Linked DNA regions of Drosophila melanogaster. The protein of the gene in region 4 interacts with the protein of the main gene of each other region in a pairwise test. Each region holds a gene or a part of one and is shown on either strand. Other genes may lie near its edges.

Region 1 (4,647 bases), on a different chromosome or scaffold from region 4:
GAAAGCAGCTACCTGCAATACGACATATTATTAATAAAATGATTATTTCATAGTCTTAAGAAGTAACTTTAAAAGGGATTTCCCAAGCCTGACTTTTTGATCCATTAGTTTTACGGCACTTAATTTGCATAAATGCCAGAAGATTACTTTCCGCCCTTACTTTTTTATGGCGACCAAATGGTCCCACCCTCATGTATAGCAGTACTCCAGATATGAGGCCGGAAATGCTTTGCTCCGAAAGTGGCAAACTTCTGGGCAAAGTTACAATGCCCTAAAGCAAGGGTGCAAGTGAGCAAGCCGAGTCCCCCTTCTTGTTTTTAATTTTTTTTAGTTGTACGCTCTGTTTCGCCTATTGTAACTCGAAAAGGTTGCCTTTTCTGTGTGGATGCAACTACTTCCCTGAGACACTTGCTGCAACAATTACAGTCTGTCACACGCTTTCTTTTTACTTGGAAGTCTAATTTACTTTTGAAGCAGCGTGTATTTCGGGTGTTAAATGCAGTGTTAAGGCAGACTAGAAAATTAAGCAGGGACTCAAGTCAGTTACTTAAAAACGCGTATTCAACTACTACTTCACCTACTATATAAGATAAAAGCAATTACAATAGACGAACTATGTTACTATTTTCCACTCAAATCAATTCTATTTTTTGAGTATAAGTTATGTGGCTTAATGGGCTACCATAAACCTTAACATATTAAAAAAATATATATATATTTCTCCTGGTGTAATGCTAATACCCCTTCTGGTGACTGAACCCCCGCCTTTGAATTCATTACACATGTTGTTCTTGTTATTTCAGCCGCGCACCTTTGTTGGCTTCTGAGTTTTTTACACATTAATGTGTTTTTGTTTTCTATGTACTTTGTATGTGAGTTGGCCTGTGAAGGTGTAAAAAGGCAAAACTAAATATAAAACTGTTATGCGCAGTGGACGTCAACGGCCGGCGTTTTTTCTACCATTTGCCTTTTGCTGGGGAGAGCCAATTCAGCAGACCTGGGCTTAATTTATGTGGCTTTTCATTTTTACATAACGAACTCCGCCATGCATACGAAATGTGGCCAAGTGGAGCTTAGCGGTCGGCTGGACCTGAACTGCCGCCAGGGATTTTAGGCAGCATCATCGATTTTCCGCAGTCCAACAACAAGTGAGATGGCTAAAGGTCAAGGACGATGCTGCCGGAACGAAGGCTACGCTACCTGTGCCCAAATGCGGGTGCGTCCCTCTTGCGCAGGCTCCTTTTTCCCGCCCGATCTGCCCCGCCTCCTCGCACACTCCACCAAGGCTTTTCCTTTCAAGGCCAACGAATTGGGGCGGCGTCTTGTGGGTGGTGGCACAATTACAGCCGAACTTTGATAAGTTGCCACTATTAGGTGGCAAGGTAAATTTATTGACTTCGCCAAAGCCAAGTCAGGCATAATAAAAAATTGATTTTATCATTGCAATAAGGTATCCGACCATGAGAAGAAATTAAGGCATCACAGAAATATATGAAACATATTCAAAAGGCTGAAAAAATTATTTAAACGCATAAATGTCTGCTAAAAATAGTTTGTTTTTTGCTCACACAAAAGTTATTTTAATTTTGGCAGTTTCCCTGGCTACAGAAAAAATGCGACTGATTACTGTATAAAATGTAGGCAGTTAAGAAATACTTTTCCAACGAAATGATATATTAGACTAATAAAAGCCCCTGAATGTGTTCAAATTTTACATGTTGCGCGTACGGATACCTAAACAAACATACTTTTGACAAATATTCGAAGTGTAACTCTTCGCATTAATTTAATCGGTTGCAAAGATAGAAAAGGATTACTAATGTTCATGGCAGGCAATCCCTACTGTACCCAAGGGTGAGCGGGGGGAGGGGGGGCGACGTTTGGTGGGTGGTGCTGGGGGCTTAATTGACTACGGACAAGTGTTTCGGTTATTTGCACCAACTGTTTCTGCTGCTACTGCTTTTCTTCGTGCTCTTACTCTACCACCTCCTTTCACCTCCTCATCCTCCACGTTCTCGTTATTCGCTTCTTCTTCTTCTTCTGACTCACCTGAGAGAGTTCCGAATCATCGCGCAATTTGTCCGCCAAATCGGCGGCGGCGGCTGCGTTCGCGGCGCAGAGCAGCGCCAAAAGCAGCGCTGCAGCGTTCAGCATTTTAGCGGACGAGCAGCAGCAGCAACAACAACCACAACAGCACTTGTTTATGCGCTGGCAGTGTACGTCGTTTGTGAGTGTGGCTGTGTGTGCTGTTTTGCGGGGGGCGTGTGCTGGTGTGAGTGCTGCTCTACGATTAAGATCTGCAATTCAAAGGCAAACAACAGTTAGCCGACGACAAACAGCATTTCCTCGGAAAAGAAAATATTATTTCACAGATATATGCTTGGCATGCTTTTTGTCCTCCTTGGTATTTTCTTTGTTTTTGCAAGGTTATCGCTGCTTCCTGTTCGCTTTTGCCCAGAGTTCCGTTATGTCACATAGAACAACAAGCGAAAAACGGACCACCGAGGAATCGGCAAGCACAACACAAACGCAATTTAACTAGAAACAAAGCTGCGCTTATTGTGTATTATTTTTTCTTCATTCCGTCGCTGTGTGTTTAATTATTATGCGCCTTTGCATTTCGCTGCTGCGGCACTTTTTTCTGTTTTCGATTTTATAGTTTTCTCTCTGGTCTTTATTCTGCGTAATTCTCGGAAACTCGGGCTGCAGGAATTAACATTAACGGCCGCCGCAGAAATTATGCAATGTCCACGGACCAAACTTGGAAAACACACAAATTCTTTAAGTAGCACACACAAACGAACGCAGCGCGGTGGTAAATCAATAGCAAGGGCAGCGAAATGGGCCGTGCAGCTATTTTAGAGTTATGCCCTATGCACAGTATAGATTTTCCACAGAGTTTCAATATAAGGGGAGCAAGTACCAGTCGGAGGAATCGCAACGTGCGCCACGCTCGAACGTTTTTTTCGAATTAAAACGAAAAGCGGAGAACAGGTTTAAGCCGAGCGTGTGGTGACGATAACGAGTGTTATCGATAGCTGTCGATGTTTCAAATCGCAACACTGTGCACTGTTAATAAATCGCTTAACATTTATATTTATTTGTGCATGTCTTTGGCGGTGACTCTTATTTATGTGCTTTTTATGCTTTTCCGAATCTTGTTAGAGGTAAAATATTAGTACAAATCGAGCGCTGCGTTGCTCTTCTGTGTCAGATTTATAATAATGTCTGTTTATCCAATCTTATTATTATTACAAGAAGACTGCTTTAAATTTTCTCATTTTTCGTTTAAAAGCATAAATAATCATTTTAACCGTTTCGCAAAATGTGGCAACGACAGAATGCGGTGGATAACTCCGCTAAGCAGAGTCTCTACTGTTTGAAAGATTTTATTCCAAATTGAACCGGTTATAATTTTCAAGCACTTATTTTTTTACTTTTCTAAGGAGATAACATTGAATTTTAACAAGCAGTGTACCTATTTGGTTCTTCTTACTTTAAGTAAATGGTAAAAGTCTTCGATAAACCACGCCGTTACTAAGCAACTTGCCACCAGCAACGCTTGTTTGCTATTGAAATCAAATTAATATCATTATCAGTTTTGACAATACCATTGCAAAGACCGAATTCAGAAAGCCAATAACGATGACTGACCAAAGCGAGCTGGATCAGTTGGCAACTGCCGAGCTGCAGAGGCTGCAACGCCAGCATCGGGGTCTCCAGCTGGACCTTCGGGGTCTCCTCGAGGAGAAGGCCAAGCGCCTGAAGAAGCAGAATCACATGATCAACGTACTGCAAGTGGAGCACCAGAAGCTGAAGGAGGAGATCAAGACTCTAGAAGGTGGTACTCATGCGCGAAAGAACACCAATGTAGATATCCACTTAATGGACTAGTCAGCCACATATAAAAGGTTTACATCGGTTTCAGAGAGAGAAGCACCTGGGCACTTTGCAGGAACAGCAGGCGGATTTGCAGAGGGTGCTCCAGAATGAGCGAACCAATCTCTGGGAACTGGAGGGCCACATCCGGAAAATGGAAAAGGAGATTGATGCCCTGCGGCGCAACGAAGTGCCCGACAACTGCTACAAGGACACCATCTGCAAGGTGCAGAAGAGCGTGGTCAAGTTGGAGAACCGCCTGGATGTCGTCAACAAAAAATGCAGCGATGTGCTCACTGAAAACAGCAAGATGAGGGACGCCATAAACCACATGTTGCAGGATCGGTGAGCATTTCTCGCTAGATATATACAATCTATAAAATACACACTAGGTTTATGAAAAGTCAACTAGGTGCTCTCCATATTATTAGGTTTTTATACCGAATTGAGCTAATGCGTTTCGACTCCACTCCAGGGCAAACTTCAATGACATGTGGCAGTCGATGGTAACCCAGTTTAACGAGGGCAAGAAGTTCATCATGGATCTCATAGACCAGTCGACACTGGCTTTCGACCAGAGAGAAGAGCTGTGCAACAAGCTGACCGTCCTAAAGGATCGCAACGAGAACGACAAGGTAATGCACATCCAGGAGATGCGCGAGATGCAGCGCCGCCTGGAGCACGACGCCAAGTTGCAGAAGTTCTTCGACATCAAGGGACAAAAGCGCCTCAATCCGGAGCTGGAGCAGCGCGAGCTGGACAAGAAGC
Region 2 (3,821 bases), on a different chromosome or scaffold from region 4:
GAAGCCGTAAAGAAAGCAAAAATTAAATTAATGTTTATGAGCAAAGTTTGTTGAGCAGCATTCCATTAATATACATTGCAAAATTAAGTAAAATATATGTAAATGTACTAATTAAAGTATATCACCCCCGAGACGGAAAACCGAAAAGTATAATTTAGTTGTTTAATGATTGATAAATATTTAGACACCAGAGGATTCCTCGTAGCATCCTCCGGATGCAAAAATTGTCAGCTAGAAACAGAGGCACTCCCTGAAATGCCATAGAACATTTTCCACTCAATTTAAAACCAACGGCAGAACGTGGTGTTTCTCTGACGATAGCACCCTGAAAACTAAGCACAGCAAACGGAAAATAAATTAAACATTTTGTGTAAAGTTCGATGACAGACCGAAGACGACAGCATGAACACGTACGAGTATATACATAATAAATATATATGAGAACAATTTAACGAGATTAAAATCAACTAAAGTAATAAAGGGAAAGTGTATAACTATTAAAACTAACGAAACGCCAAGCTCTTTCATTTCGATTTTCGCATATTGCATTCAATTTATTCACAATAATTTTCGATACATAAATTACAGGATCTAACACTAAACGGATTTAATAAAACATATTTTTGGACAATACACAATGAATTAACAGTGGGGTTAATAAGCATGCGATTGTGCGCCAGTGGCACGCCAATTAATAATTTACAATATTGCAATTGACTAAAATCTGTAAATCTCATAGGTGTCCCCATATTTGCAGGGCAAATACCCTCGGACTCGAAGCGGGGATTGGGATTGGCTTCGCTTTGCTTACGGCTAGTAACACAATTTCAATGATTTTTCGTTGCCCTTACACCTCGGAACACTTTGCTAGACATTAATGTGCTTTTAGTGGCGGGTCACCACCGGGGACTACGTCGATTTGGTTCGGAACGCTCGTATTGGATGCTCTTGAAGCGGCTACTTGCCTCCAGATGCAGCTGCTGCTGTTTCGGTTCCGGATGTCCACGAGTGACAATGTCTTTCCAAATCATGGTCAAAAGTATGAAGATAGCACCCACAATCTTGTTCAGAAACTCGATTAGTTTAAACACTATTGGAGTGGCTGTATGTGTGAAACGACTCAGCTCAAACAGGAATCGCACAGCAAATACGCCTAGGAATCGTAGCGCTAGTGCGGCTCCACCCAAGGCAGAGAAAATTAGTAGACCCAGAAACCGAATGGTGCCCAAAATGTTCCTCTTGTTGACATCGTTGGTCATGAAGTCGTACACGGTTTGTTTGACTCCATCACCCCACTGTTGCAGCACAGCCAAAAAATCATTAAGGCCCAGCTGAATTTGCTCCGCCACTTCATCCGGCTTGGAGGAGGAGTTTTCCCCACCCGCTGTGATCGCCTTAACAGGGCTACTTCTATTAAGAATCAGTGATCTCCTCGGCGTCGCCATCAGCTCTGGCTCCACGGGCCTTATCATCTTCAGTTTGAACTGGACTTCATGGTCCCGGAAGCGAAGGGTCTTGATGCTAAACCAATACTCTCCAAAAGCCAGATCATTCATCTCTGTCCAGATGCAGGTTTCCAGTTGACCAGGATCTGCTTTGTGCTGGTAACTTCCGTAACTCCCATAGGTGATGCCCACCCACATATTGGGCACGAAGCGTTGATAAAACTTTTGTAATTGGCCGGCACTCGAGTGCAGCAGCTTCTCCAACTCTCGCTCACTGCGTTGAAGCACCACCACGTCCCGGTAGCCGGACACCTGCTCCACCAAGCAGCGTTCCATATAATAACCGCGGAAGAGACGAGACTTGTAAAGCTGCTTGGTTAGTGCTTGCATGGCCAGTTCCTCGGGCGGCATATGACGTCCGCTCGCCTGTGGCATCAACGCGCTGTTGTCCATGGCTAGCTGTGTATGAAATCCTTTATTACTGGTCAGCAAATGACCTGCAGCAACCTTACCGATTGATAGTGATTGGACTTTGTTGCAACCACTTTCGCCGCTTAGTCAGCACAGCGCTTTTGTTATTGTTTGACCAAGCAATTTGTGCCAGTCAATTAAGGGTGAAATAGCTGTCAGCTGTTGCTTATTTCTTATTTTTTTTACGACCATGCATAATGCACTTAAATTTTGGCTTAATTAACTTTAAAATTCAGACATTTCAACATAAACCAGGTAGACACAAATTAGGCAAGCAGCTGTTGAGTTCGATAGCCGATAACAATAAGGGTGACCATACCATATACAGTCGATTTGCGAAGTATACAATTTTCAGTGGACTATCGCTAATGTGACGAAAAAAATTATAAAAAACATTTTTGATACTCATTTTTCCCAGTTTTTCCACCCGGCCACGTTGGTTTCCACCCACATCAAGATTTCCTCCCAACAGCGTCTGCTCGAGTGCTTCAGGATGACTTTGGTGGGCCTAGCTGCCCGCAAATTAGCGCAAAAGAAGAGGTTAGTCGCGTTTAAGAAGTACCCCAGCCGGCTTTTTTGTTGTAACCTACGAATTCTGTAACAACAGATCCGCAAAGCAAGCAGCAGACTTTCCCAATGGCATCCGGTGCCAGAAGTGCCTGCAGATCGGACACTGGAGCTATGAGTGCAAGGAGAAGCGCAAATACGTCCACCGGAGCTCGCGTACCAAGCAGCTAAGCAAGCGTATGTCCCAAAAGGAGGCTGACGCACCCAAGAACCAGGTGGAGGAGCACTCGGAAGTGGCTTCCTCGGAAGGAAAGAAGGTCCGTCGAAAGCGGAAAACGAGCAAGAGCTCCTCGTCCTCCTCCAGCTCGTCGGACAGCTCAGACAGCAGCAGCGAATCGGGCTCCTCATCCGAATCAGACTCGAGCAGCTCCAGTTCGGATTCGGACGACGAGGAAGGCAGCTCGTCAGACTCCAGTGGAAGTGGCTCGGACAGCGACAGCAGCGAGGATCAAAAGCAGGGAGCTCCACAAAAAAAGAAAAAACGAGCCGGGAGTTCACCTGAATCTTCTGACGATCAAGAGTAATCAAGAGACCGATTTGTGGTCTGTAGTATGTAGCTTTACTAGTTTAGTTTTCCCACACTTACACCGAAAATGAACATACTTTTGGTACTGTATTGTTTATATTTTAATGCTCCCAACATGTACGTTTTTCTGGTAAAGTTCCAGCCTTAATAACAATTTTAATCCGAGTCGACTTCCTCCTCGAAACGCCTCATTTGGCTTACGAGATCCAGATCTATTTGCTGGCTGTTGACGAGATGGGACTCCATCACAGTTGTGATTGGGGACTGCTCCACCGACAGATCTATGTGGAGGGGATCCCTTCCAGGGGAGCACTGCGTTTTTGGGTTCTGCTGGCCCACCACCTGAGACTTGAGATGCAGCTCCTCTACCTGTGGAACACTGAATTGGGAAAACCGTCATTGAAGCAAGAGATTTGTAGATACCTTTAGTGAATTTAATGCCTCCTGAATGACGGGGAGCACTCGGTCGAGTTTCTTCTGGATAGCAAATAGTTCAGCCTGCTCTTTTTGAAGGACTCGATTTGTTTGCAGCATTTTGAAAACAAATAATAAACTTTAACCTTAGAAAGACCCCTTTTTAATGAAGGCCTTATATGGTATACTTCCAATGGACAAGGAAATAAATGAATTGAATTTAGATTACTTATAAAAACTAAATGATGTTAAAAACATGAAAGTATTTTAAAAGTCACTTGCTTTATGAGGAAATGTAATTAATTATTTAGTAAGTGAAAGCAATGGGTTAAGTATCAGCTATCGATAAGCCAGCTAAAGCAGCACTGTTGCAAAAGCAAAATTTCGATAACAATGGC
Region 3 (5,139 bases), about 10 Mb from region 4:
ATCTCTTGATTACTTTTCGACTTAAGCTTCCTCTTCTCAGACTAAACCCAAATCGATCAGTTTATCGCATCCACTCTCAAGCTTTCAAAACTTATCCACATTCAATTTACTAAAACACTTTGCCGTAATCTCTATTTCAGATCCAGCTCCAGTTAGCAGACCGTTACACAAAAGCACTAACACAAAACACTTGGCAGAGCAGCTCTCCTTACGTTTAACTTTAATTACTCAATTATTTGCCAGATTTTGTTGTTTTTCACTTCTTAAGTTGGAAATTAGCCGCGAAGTACGCAGACCTAAAACGTTGGCCAACTGATTAGAGCGAGCGAGAGGCGGCGAGGGGCACAACAACGATCATATCGGATCGGATCTCGGATCGAATGGGAATCAACTATATATCGGACTACTACAGCGCGCGTGTGCGAACGCGCTACGAACCAAACTCAAACTGACGACCGAACTTCACTCCACAGAAATCCACGAGCGAGCAAACACAGCAAATACAAAAGCACAAGCAAAAGCAAAGACGGCGGCAAACAAAAAGAAAGAAGCACAAAGACAATCGAAAGACAGACTCAAAGCTTAGCGAAAGAGTCCGTTGAAGTTCTTTTGGTAAGAACCACAAAAAAGGCGGAAAGGCTTAAATAATCCTTGAACTTAATAATAACCTACATAATATAAATATCCAAGTGTATATTATCAGTCACTTTTGTTCGTTTTGTAACAATAGTCGTACATAGTGGCCTTTGGAAATACATACATAAACTTTATCAACGCGGTCTCATTGAATTATTTTTCTTATTTTAAATGTCTTTTAATTGTATATATTTTCTTATTATACTCAGTGGGAGACTGTTGATCACCTGTGCCGAAAAAAACGTATCTATAATAGAAAATGGGAGATGCTTAGATTGTAGGAAGGAAAATACGGAAATGTGTCGGATTAAAGAGACAGGATTCAGTTGTTATGAAGGAAACTTTTATAGGCGATTGGGTCGTCTACAAGGTGAATTCCCAAAAACAACCAATAAAGAGGGTGTTTGCGTTCCACCCGGACTGCATATCGGTATAAGAAGCATTTGAATAGTAATAAAAGACTAATTTTTTAATTTTACAGATACTATGAATGCCAAAGTCTGCTGCGTTTGGTCACCAGAAATCGGTTGTCAAATCTTATTAACTGAAGATCACCAGGGTGAATTTTGCTTCACTTGCAGAGTGAAATATAAAATGGAATACAAAGGCCTAATTTCCTGTCCGTGCGTAAAAAGTGAAGGATTGGGCCAACCCCATGTGAAATCATGGCAGAACTTTATTTTCACATATTTACTCATAAAATTATCCAGTTTTACCATGGGGCTATAACTTATAAATTTAAAATGTACATATAATTGAAAATTGTTATATATTTTACAGAGAGTTCTAAATACAATAAAGCTTTAGATTAAAATTTGTTTTATTGTGTAAAAATAGAAAACAAATCACAAATACTATGCAAAAATATGAGGATTTTACAAATGAATTTATTATTTTTTCAAAATATTTACAACTAATGTTATCAATATGAAATTAATATTAATAATTAATATTTTATTCACAACGAAGGCAATGGCATTAAAATAATCTCACCTGATACCTCGTATGCAGATGGTTCGAGTCCACGCTCAGGCGCCACCAAAGTTTTGCACCAAGGTTGCAGTCCATAGCCGAAGATTTTGACATGAGTGTGGCCAACTATCCTCAATCCGCTAGTTACACCTCTCCACGGCAAAACCATTAAGGCGTTTTGGTATTCGTGAGAAATCGCTGCACCTCCGTGAGCCCCCCCTCATTCTTTGAATCCTCGCCAACGAGCCGCTAACGTTGCTGACGAATAGTAAGTGCGAAAATTCCGAGCGAAAATTGCATAAGTTTTGTAAAATCGAAATCAAAGTAGCCGAGCGGTGCTCTATCGCTCCCTTAACATACACTAAATTTACGTGGTTGCTTAAAATCCTTCGCTTTTCGGGTAAATTTGGTGTCGTAAGTCCGGGTGCTCGGAATTCGAGGCACGCCGTTATGTAACCTACAAAAGCGAAAAGCAGCTGATTACCCAGCTATATATATAATTAGATAAAGCACATGTCGCCTCCGAGGTACATATATACGTAACTAATGGATGGTCTCTCTACTTTCAGCCGACCCCAGAACAAGAACAGAATCAAGATGTTCTCCAGCTTCTTTGAAACTGCCCGGAACTCGCCATTCCGCACCCCCATGTCGATGGCAAGATGCGATGCCGCCGCCCCAGTGGTGGAACCCCAGCCGGTTGAGGGTCGCCAGATCGCCGCCGCCGCTACCCCGGTGGCCAACCAGCAGGATTCGTGCGAATTCGGCAGCACCAAGTACTTCGCTCTGTGCGGAATTGGTGGCATTCTCAGCTGCGGCACCACCCACACCTTCGTGGTCCCACTGGATCTGGTGAAGTGCCGTCTGCAGGTCGACCAGGCCAAGTACAAGAATCTGGTGCACGGATTCAAGGTCACCGTGGCGGAGGAGGGCGCCCGCGGACTGGCTAAGGGCTGGTTCCCCACTCTGCTCGGCTACTCGGCACAGGTGAGATTGGGCTTCACTTTATGGGTTGCATAATCGTCTGGAGGCGAATTATATGCTCGTGACCAGGTCGGCTGACCTTAATTACATCGGTTCCGGGCTTGAAGCAGATAAAAGTGATTCGAATCGAACATTAGGAAGTTTGATTCCTAGGCTGATATCTTAGTATACCTCAGAATAACAACACACCTTTGACAACTTTATGGTTACGGGAGAAACAGATACCGAAGATAAAATCTTGGATACTACTGCAAACTGAAAAATAACTTCTGAGAAACAGCAGGCTAATCCGCGTTTCTGTATCTTTCAGGGTCTGTGCAAGTTCGGTCTGTACGAGTTGTTCAAGGTGAAGTACGCCGAAATCATTGGCGAGGAGAACGCCTACCTGTACCGCACCTCCTTGTATCTGGCTGCTTCCGCTTCGGCCGAGTTCTTCGCCGATATCGCTCTGGCGCCGTTCGAGGCCGCCAAGGTGAAGATCCAGACTATTCCCGGATACGCCAACAACTTCCGCGAGGCAGTGCCCAAGATGCTAAAGGAGGAGGGCGTCAATGCCTTCTACAAGGGTCTGGTTCCCCTGTGGATGCGACAGATCCCATACACCATGATGAAGTTCGCTTGCTTCGAGCGCACCGTGGAGCTGCTCTACAAGTAAGTAACATTTCCTCTTTAGGTATCCTCTAGTTTCTACAGCGGAAAAACTTACCAGTGCTGTGCACAATATCTGTATTCGTATTAGCGTTTTGCTATTACAATAGTTTAAAGGTAGACTGTTAATCTGTGAAATTTCAAAAGTGATATGCTAATTGATCAAAACTGAAAGTATTCATAATAAAATAAACTTTTAGCGCGTCAGCAGATAAGAATGCCATTCGTATCTAATAAATGGCACGCCAGAATAAAAACCAACGACGAATGCTTATCTTGTTCAAATATAGGAAAATCATATTATTTCAGAACTAGTTTGTTACTATGGATAAAATAAAAAAAGCAAAGCATTCCTTTTGAAGTGCAAATTAGCAGGTAGCCACTGAAAGTTCAAATGTAAAAACTAGAGCAATACCGTTCACAGTTCGGGTTGTCAAGCCCCAACGAACCCCGTTAAATCAATACTAATGATGCAACTTTTCCCAGGTATGTGGTGCCCAAGCCTCGTGCCGACTGCACCAAGGGCGAGCAGCTGATCGTGACCTTCGCCGCTGGCTACATCGCCGGTGTGTTCTGTGCCGTGGTGTCGCATCCCGCTGATGTGGTGGTGTCCAAGCTGAACCAGGCCAAGGGAGCTAGCGCCATCAGCGTGGCCAAGTCGCTGGGCTTCAGTGGCATGTGGAACGGATTGACTCCTCGTATTATCATGATCGGTACCCTGACCGCTCTGCAGTGGTTCATCTACGATGGTGTGAAGGTCGCCCTGGGCATTCCCCGCCCACCACCACCAGAGATGCCAGCTAGCCTGAAGGCCAAGCAGCATTAAGTGGGCTAGTCCAATTGGTTACCTTAAGGACAGAGTTCACTAGTTGGAGCGATTGTGGGCAGACACAGGAGCAACATACTTTTACTTTCTAACGAATTTCGGTTTCAGTATAGCGAAAATGCTTTATACTTGTTTCTCAGCAAGAATACATTAATGTTGCGTGTGTGCCATTGCACATGTACATTCCAAAACAACACTTTACGCATTTCTCTAACACAGCACTTATACACACTTTTTTATAAACACATCTTTCTAACTTTAAAAGCCAAACATTCTATCGTACGAAACTAAGCTACACTCAAGTTCAAAGTATTCAATTCCATATATATTCTGTTATACTATGTGCTATATTTAATCCTATGTGTGTCTAGCTTTCGCTGGAAAGTATGTCCGTATGTTGTACCTTTGATGGCCAGCCCCTTGTTATCTCCTCTCCGCTGCCCCCACAGGCCACACATGCGAATATGATATTAATGCTGTTTCAATTGTCTGACCCGATACCCAAGAAAGCACTCTGAATAAATTAAATTATAAAATATAAAAAACTCTACCAAGCTGCGTTTTCTAATCTTGTCTATCTATTGGGAACTGGTTATTATAGATTGTGGCTGTGATCACATTAGAACGATCGTGGGGATAACCTTATGACCTTATGATTTCCCTGACATTGAAAATGGGGTTTTATGGCGCTATAACTAACTAGCATTGTGAGGTAACCAAACAAGAGATCACGAATGCTGATTGCTTTAAAGGAAAACGGCTAATTTCGGTTTTGTTTAATCGTAATCAGCTGCCAATTGTCTGCGAGAATTTTTATGTGTTGCACAAAATGTCGATTTAAGATGTTTGAGCTAATCTATTATAATTAATATTTTAACACAATGAGCGATTTTTACATATTTAATTTTTAATAACCCACTCGATACTGTTGTAATATTTGTTTGATGCTTCTATAGAATTCGAATGCAAATCTTCATCTCAATTAAATTTATTAAAAAAAGGTTTGGACGTCTTGGCTAAATAAGAAGAACTACAGTATTTTTTCCAAAAATATTTATTTTGTTTATGAGCAT
Region 4 (3,832 bases):
GGTTCTAATAACAGCGATTATCATTCAATGATTTAGAATTAAACGCAATCTTGGCAATTAAAATCGAATTAAATAGCTTTAGTATGCTTTACTTTTTATTAAGCGTAAAAAATTCACAAGCAAGTTATTGCCTATTAGTTGAATAATATTATTCAAATATAACTCTTTAGTTCTTGAAGGAAACCGATTTATTTGAAAATTATATATTCAAAAAATATGTAACATAAGATATTTTCAATTATTTAGCTACAAATATAGTAATTGTCTTTGAATCCTACTAATGTTCAATGGTTGTAATATATTTCGATATAATATTCAAGCAATAGCTTTAAACAGAAATCAGCTTCCGTTTTAAAACTCAAGAATCAGAGTAATTTTCTTCCAAATTTTCATTTCCCGTAAAAGAATACTCCATTAACTTTCCATTTGCATAGCTTCGGTTCGTTTATTGCAATCTCGTTTCTCATTCTGCGAGTTCTACTCGAGTGCACAGGCTCGGATTAAATAAGAATTGAAACGGGGATTGTGAGTTGGGGATTATAGAGTATTTATCGCGGTCAAACAGCCTTAAGATTAAGAAGACAAGAAACATAAATGAAAGGTCTCGAGAATGTGTGAGTGTAGATGAGGGAACATTGGATCCGTAACTCAAGGACTGGGCAATCGGAATCCGCTGTCCGTGAATTCGTATGTACATATTTCGATAAATCGCTTTCATTTCCACTAATACTACAACTACTATCGACTATGATCGGCCCATGAGCTCCGGCTAACTGGAGCCCAGGTGGCAGGAGAAGTTGGTCGCGATGTGTCCATTATTCGGTTGCGGCAAGAGGTCGGCATTATTCGAGTGGTGTATATCCATCCATCTGACTTAGTGGTAGCCCAGGGGCGAGAGGGCGGGCAGGGCCAGCTTGGGCAGAGCAGGTCCATAGGCGGGAGCCAGAGCCGGTCCGTATCCGTGGGCCAGAGCCGGGTAAGCGGGCGCCAGAGCCGGACCATAGGCGGGCACCTTGGCCACCAGAGGAGAGGCATGGAGCAGCGGAGCCGGGGCCAGAACCTTGGCCACCGGAGCCACAGCCTTCACCACAGCTCCCTCGCGGCGCACCACTGCGTTGAATCCGTGCACGGGATCGGCGGTGTACTCCACAATGCGGCGGGTTCCGTCGGCCTCAATCAGTGAATAGGCGCCCTGCACCACATCTCCGCTGCGGGTCTCCTGCTGGCTCTTCACGTCACCAGTGGAGCCATCCTGGTGGGCAGAAGGAAGTTGTTGGATTAGCAAAGGATAGGAATAGGTACTTTATATTTAAAGAAATGCCTTGAAACGAATCCTTTGCATCTTATATCCTAAGGATTTCAAGGAAACTATAAATATTTTATATCCAACATCCAACTTGCTCAACCAAGTGGTCGGATTTAATAGTTCTAAGCTTCCATAAACACTTCATAAAAATGTCTGGCAAAATCAAAATTTGCATACCAGTTGCTCAATAAAGCAATAAAATTCGAATGCAGATTTCTGAATTGGCATTGCTTTTTATGAGGTGACTAATAACTTCTTACGAAGCTGACTCACATGAACATCGTAGCTGAAGGTGTATTGGGGATTGGGATCGTATGGCTCCGGACCCGCCACCTTGGCCACCAGAGGAGCAGCCACCTTGGCCAGCGCCGGGTACGATGGATAGGCGGGCAGTGCCAGTCCGGGACCAGGGACCACAACGGCGGAGGACACCGCCACCAGGGCGCTCAGGACGAGGATCAGTTTCTGTGCCATTCTGGACGGATTGCTTGGTGTTTGCGATGGAGTAGTGGAGAACTGGAGGTCTACTGCTGCTCGACTGACAAATGAACTCGATCTGTGGTTCTGTGGCCGCACGACAATTGCTTTTTATAGGCCTCACATAGACGCGAGCCCAAAAATCCGCCACAGCCTCCGCCGCCGCCTGCCACCAGATATTTATGCAAAAAGCGCAGCAAGACACAAAAAATAATAATAAACAACTAAAAAGTGAGCATGCGTGTGGAGTCTGTAGCGGCCTGTGCCTATGCGAAATGCTCGCATCGATCGCGACAAATATAAAATAATTCATTTTTCGCTGCCCATGGCAATCAGAAGGGGCTGTCCGGAGGTGGAGGAGCTGCCGGTCGAGCTGAAGGCGCTGGAGGTGCTTGGCGGTTCACGCATGTCTGGGAGTCTGGGAGGACTGTGCTGGACCAAAGCAAACTGGTCCCACGCCGGCTGAATCGCCGTCGTTGTTGTCGTGACAAAAAAGTTCAATTCGAAAGCGAATTATTTGGGCCTAAGCCGGGTGGCCGGACGGATCAGGTGTGGTGGACGCATGAGCACCAGTGCCTCCCATGTCTCCATGTCTCGACTTTATGGCCACCAGATTGGGGCGACGCTGCACACGCACCCAGCAGTCGATTGTTGAAAGGTGTGTTTGGGGCACAGCCTTCGAAACTGGCTGGCTGCTCTAAGCCGCGCCCACCCAAAAAATCTACGCCAGACGCATTCAATGCACTGCGAGAAAACGAAAAAGTTCTAACCGCAATGAATGTGATATGTGATATTAAAATCTCTACGAAAAAAGTACTTGGATAACATATACAATACAAAAGGATATCAATTGTAGAATATTCTGTTCAATCCTATAGATTTTCGAATGTCATGCAGTATTTTTTTGAGTGTATAGATTTGGTTCTGTTTCGCTGCTCTGTTGCCATTGGGACAATTTTGGCCATTATCACTAATTTTCAACGCGTACCGCCGCTTGTTAGGCGTTGCTGCAGTTGCAGTTGCAGTAACTGCTGCAGTTGCAGTCGGCGCCGGCAGCAACATCTATGGACATGCTCGGGTTGGGGTTTGCGTAATCCAAAAATTGCATCTCGTGCCGATTTTTTACTTTCAATTAAGCTATTGAATAATTTGAGTGCGTGTTGGGCCAGCGAGAGTGAATGTATTCATTTGGAGTGGAAGAGTTCTTTGGGCGTGGGACAGCTGGAGGGGAGATAACCATCTAAGATTGCGGTCTTATGTAAGTGGAATGGGTCAGCTTTCTTTGGCGAATTGGGCTTTTCCTGGTTACATTTTGTTACATTTAAAATTACAAAACCACTTTTACATGGCATGGAGTCACGAAAATGTTCACCAAGTAATTAGTTCCATTAAGCACATAACCATTTCCATTTCTTGACACCCGCAATTATGATGTAATTGAAAAAGTTAACACACTGCTAAGTTTCAAGTTCAAAACGACGATATTTGCATCATAATTAACACGCAAATTTTGATCTTGAAAAAATGTCCATTGAATATCTTGTTATTTTGCACTACTTTTAAGTGTGTTTTTAATTTAGTTCATTATCATTAACTAGGCAAGTATGCATTTTGGGCCTTGAGCTTGTCTAATCAACTGACTAATTAATAAAAATGTATAGGTGTAAATTTAAACTCGTTTCGGAATTTTAGTAGAGCTTTTGATTAATTTTAGTTAATCAACGCCTTGAGAAGCGAATACTTGCGGATTTTCCTTGAATATGATTGAAGGATTTCATGTATTTCTTTGGCTTATTGAGTTTATTGTTTAATGATTACTGACTTTACAACGGACTAAGGAGCAGACAATAAGTTATGTAAAAGCTAGGTTACAAGCAGTGTTAAAGGCTCTGAAAGATTGTGGAGTTAGCCCAAGATTGGAGCAGCCACTGGAGCCACCAATGGGCGAGCAGCCACCGGAACTGGTCCTCGCTGCACCACCGCATTGAAACCGTTGATGGGATCGGCGGTGTAGAAGACGGTGCGCAGTGAACCATCGGCATCGACCAC

The links.
Region 1: the proteins of Cpr64Aa (region 4) and Fas1 interact in a two-hybrid assay, tested with the Drosophila melanogaster proteins (one large-scale study listed by BioGRID).
Region 2: the proteins of Cpr64Aa (region 4) and CG4287 interact in a two-hybrid assay, tested with the Drosophila melanogaster proteins (one large-scale study listed by BioGRID).
Region 3: the proteins of Cpr64Aa (region 4) and Mpcp2 interact in a two-hybrid assay, tested with the Drosophila melanogaster proteins (one large-scale study listed by BioGRID).

What each region holds. Positions count from the first base shown.
Region 1 is NT_033777.3:16,623,619-16,628,265, reverse strand, and holds the start of Fas1 (fasciclin 1), read right to left. Parts: upstream 3,029-4,647; 5' UTR 2,924-3,028; intron 2,298-2,923; 5' UTR 2,155-2,297; coding exon 2,050-2,154; intron 1-2,049. Other genes in the region: Ccdc114 (Coiled-coil domain containing protein 114), read left to right, coding at 3,646-3,870, 3,929-4,224, 4,355-4,647. UniProt on the Drosophila melanogaster protein: Neural cell adhesion molecule.
Region 2 is NT_033777.3:15,961,642-15,965,462, forward strand, and holds CG4287 (uncharacterized protein), read right to left. Parts: upstream 2,227-3,821; 5' UTR 1,958-2,226; intron 1,905-1,957; 5' UTR 1,899-1,904; coding exon 897-1,898; 3' UTR 526-896; downstream 1-525. Other genes in the region: CG5516 (uncharacterized protein), read left to right, coding at 2,410-2,456, 2,524-3,007; CG32856 (uncharacterized protein), read right to left, coding at 3,166-3,378, 3,433-3,543.
Region 3 is NT_037436.4:14,535,827-14,540,965, forward strand, and holds Mpcp2 (mitochondrial phosphate carrier protein 2), read left to right. Parts: upstream 1-1,824; 5' UTR 1,825-1,876; intron 1,877-1,899; exon of another isoform or gene 1,900-2,022; intron 2,023-2,177; 5' UTR 2,178-2,205; coding exon 2,206-2,595; intron 2,596-2,902; coding exon 2,903-3,243; intron 3,244-3,726; coding exon 3,727-4,066; 3' UTR 4,067-4,615; downstream 4,616-5,139. Other genes in the region: CG43246 (uncharacterized protein), read left to right, coding at 808-1,066, 1,118-1,365.
Region 4 is NT_037436.4:4,207,313-4,211,144, forward strand, and holds Cpr64Aa (cuticular protein 64Aa), read right to left. Parts: upstream 1,867-3,832; 5' UTR 1,781-1,866; coding exon 1,580-1,780; intron 1,253-1,579; coding exon 875-1,252; 3' UTR 526-874; downstream 1-525. Other genes in the region: Cpr64Ab (cuticular protein 64Ab), read right to left, coding at 3,689-3,832.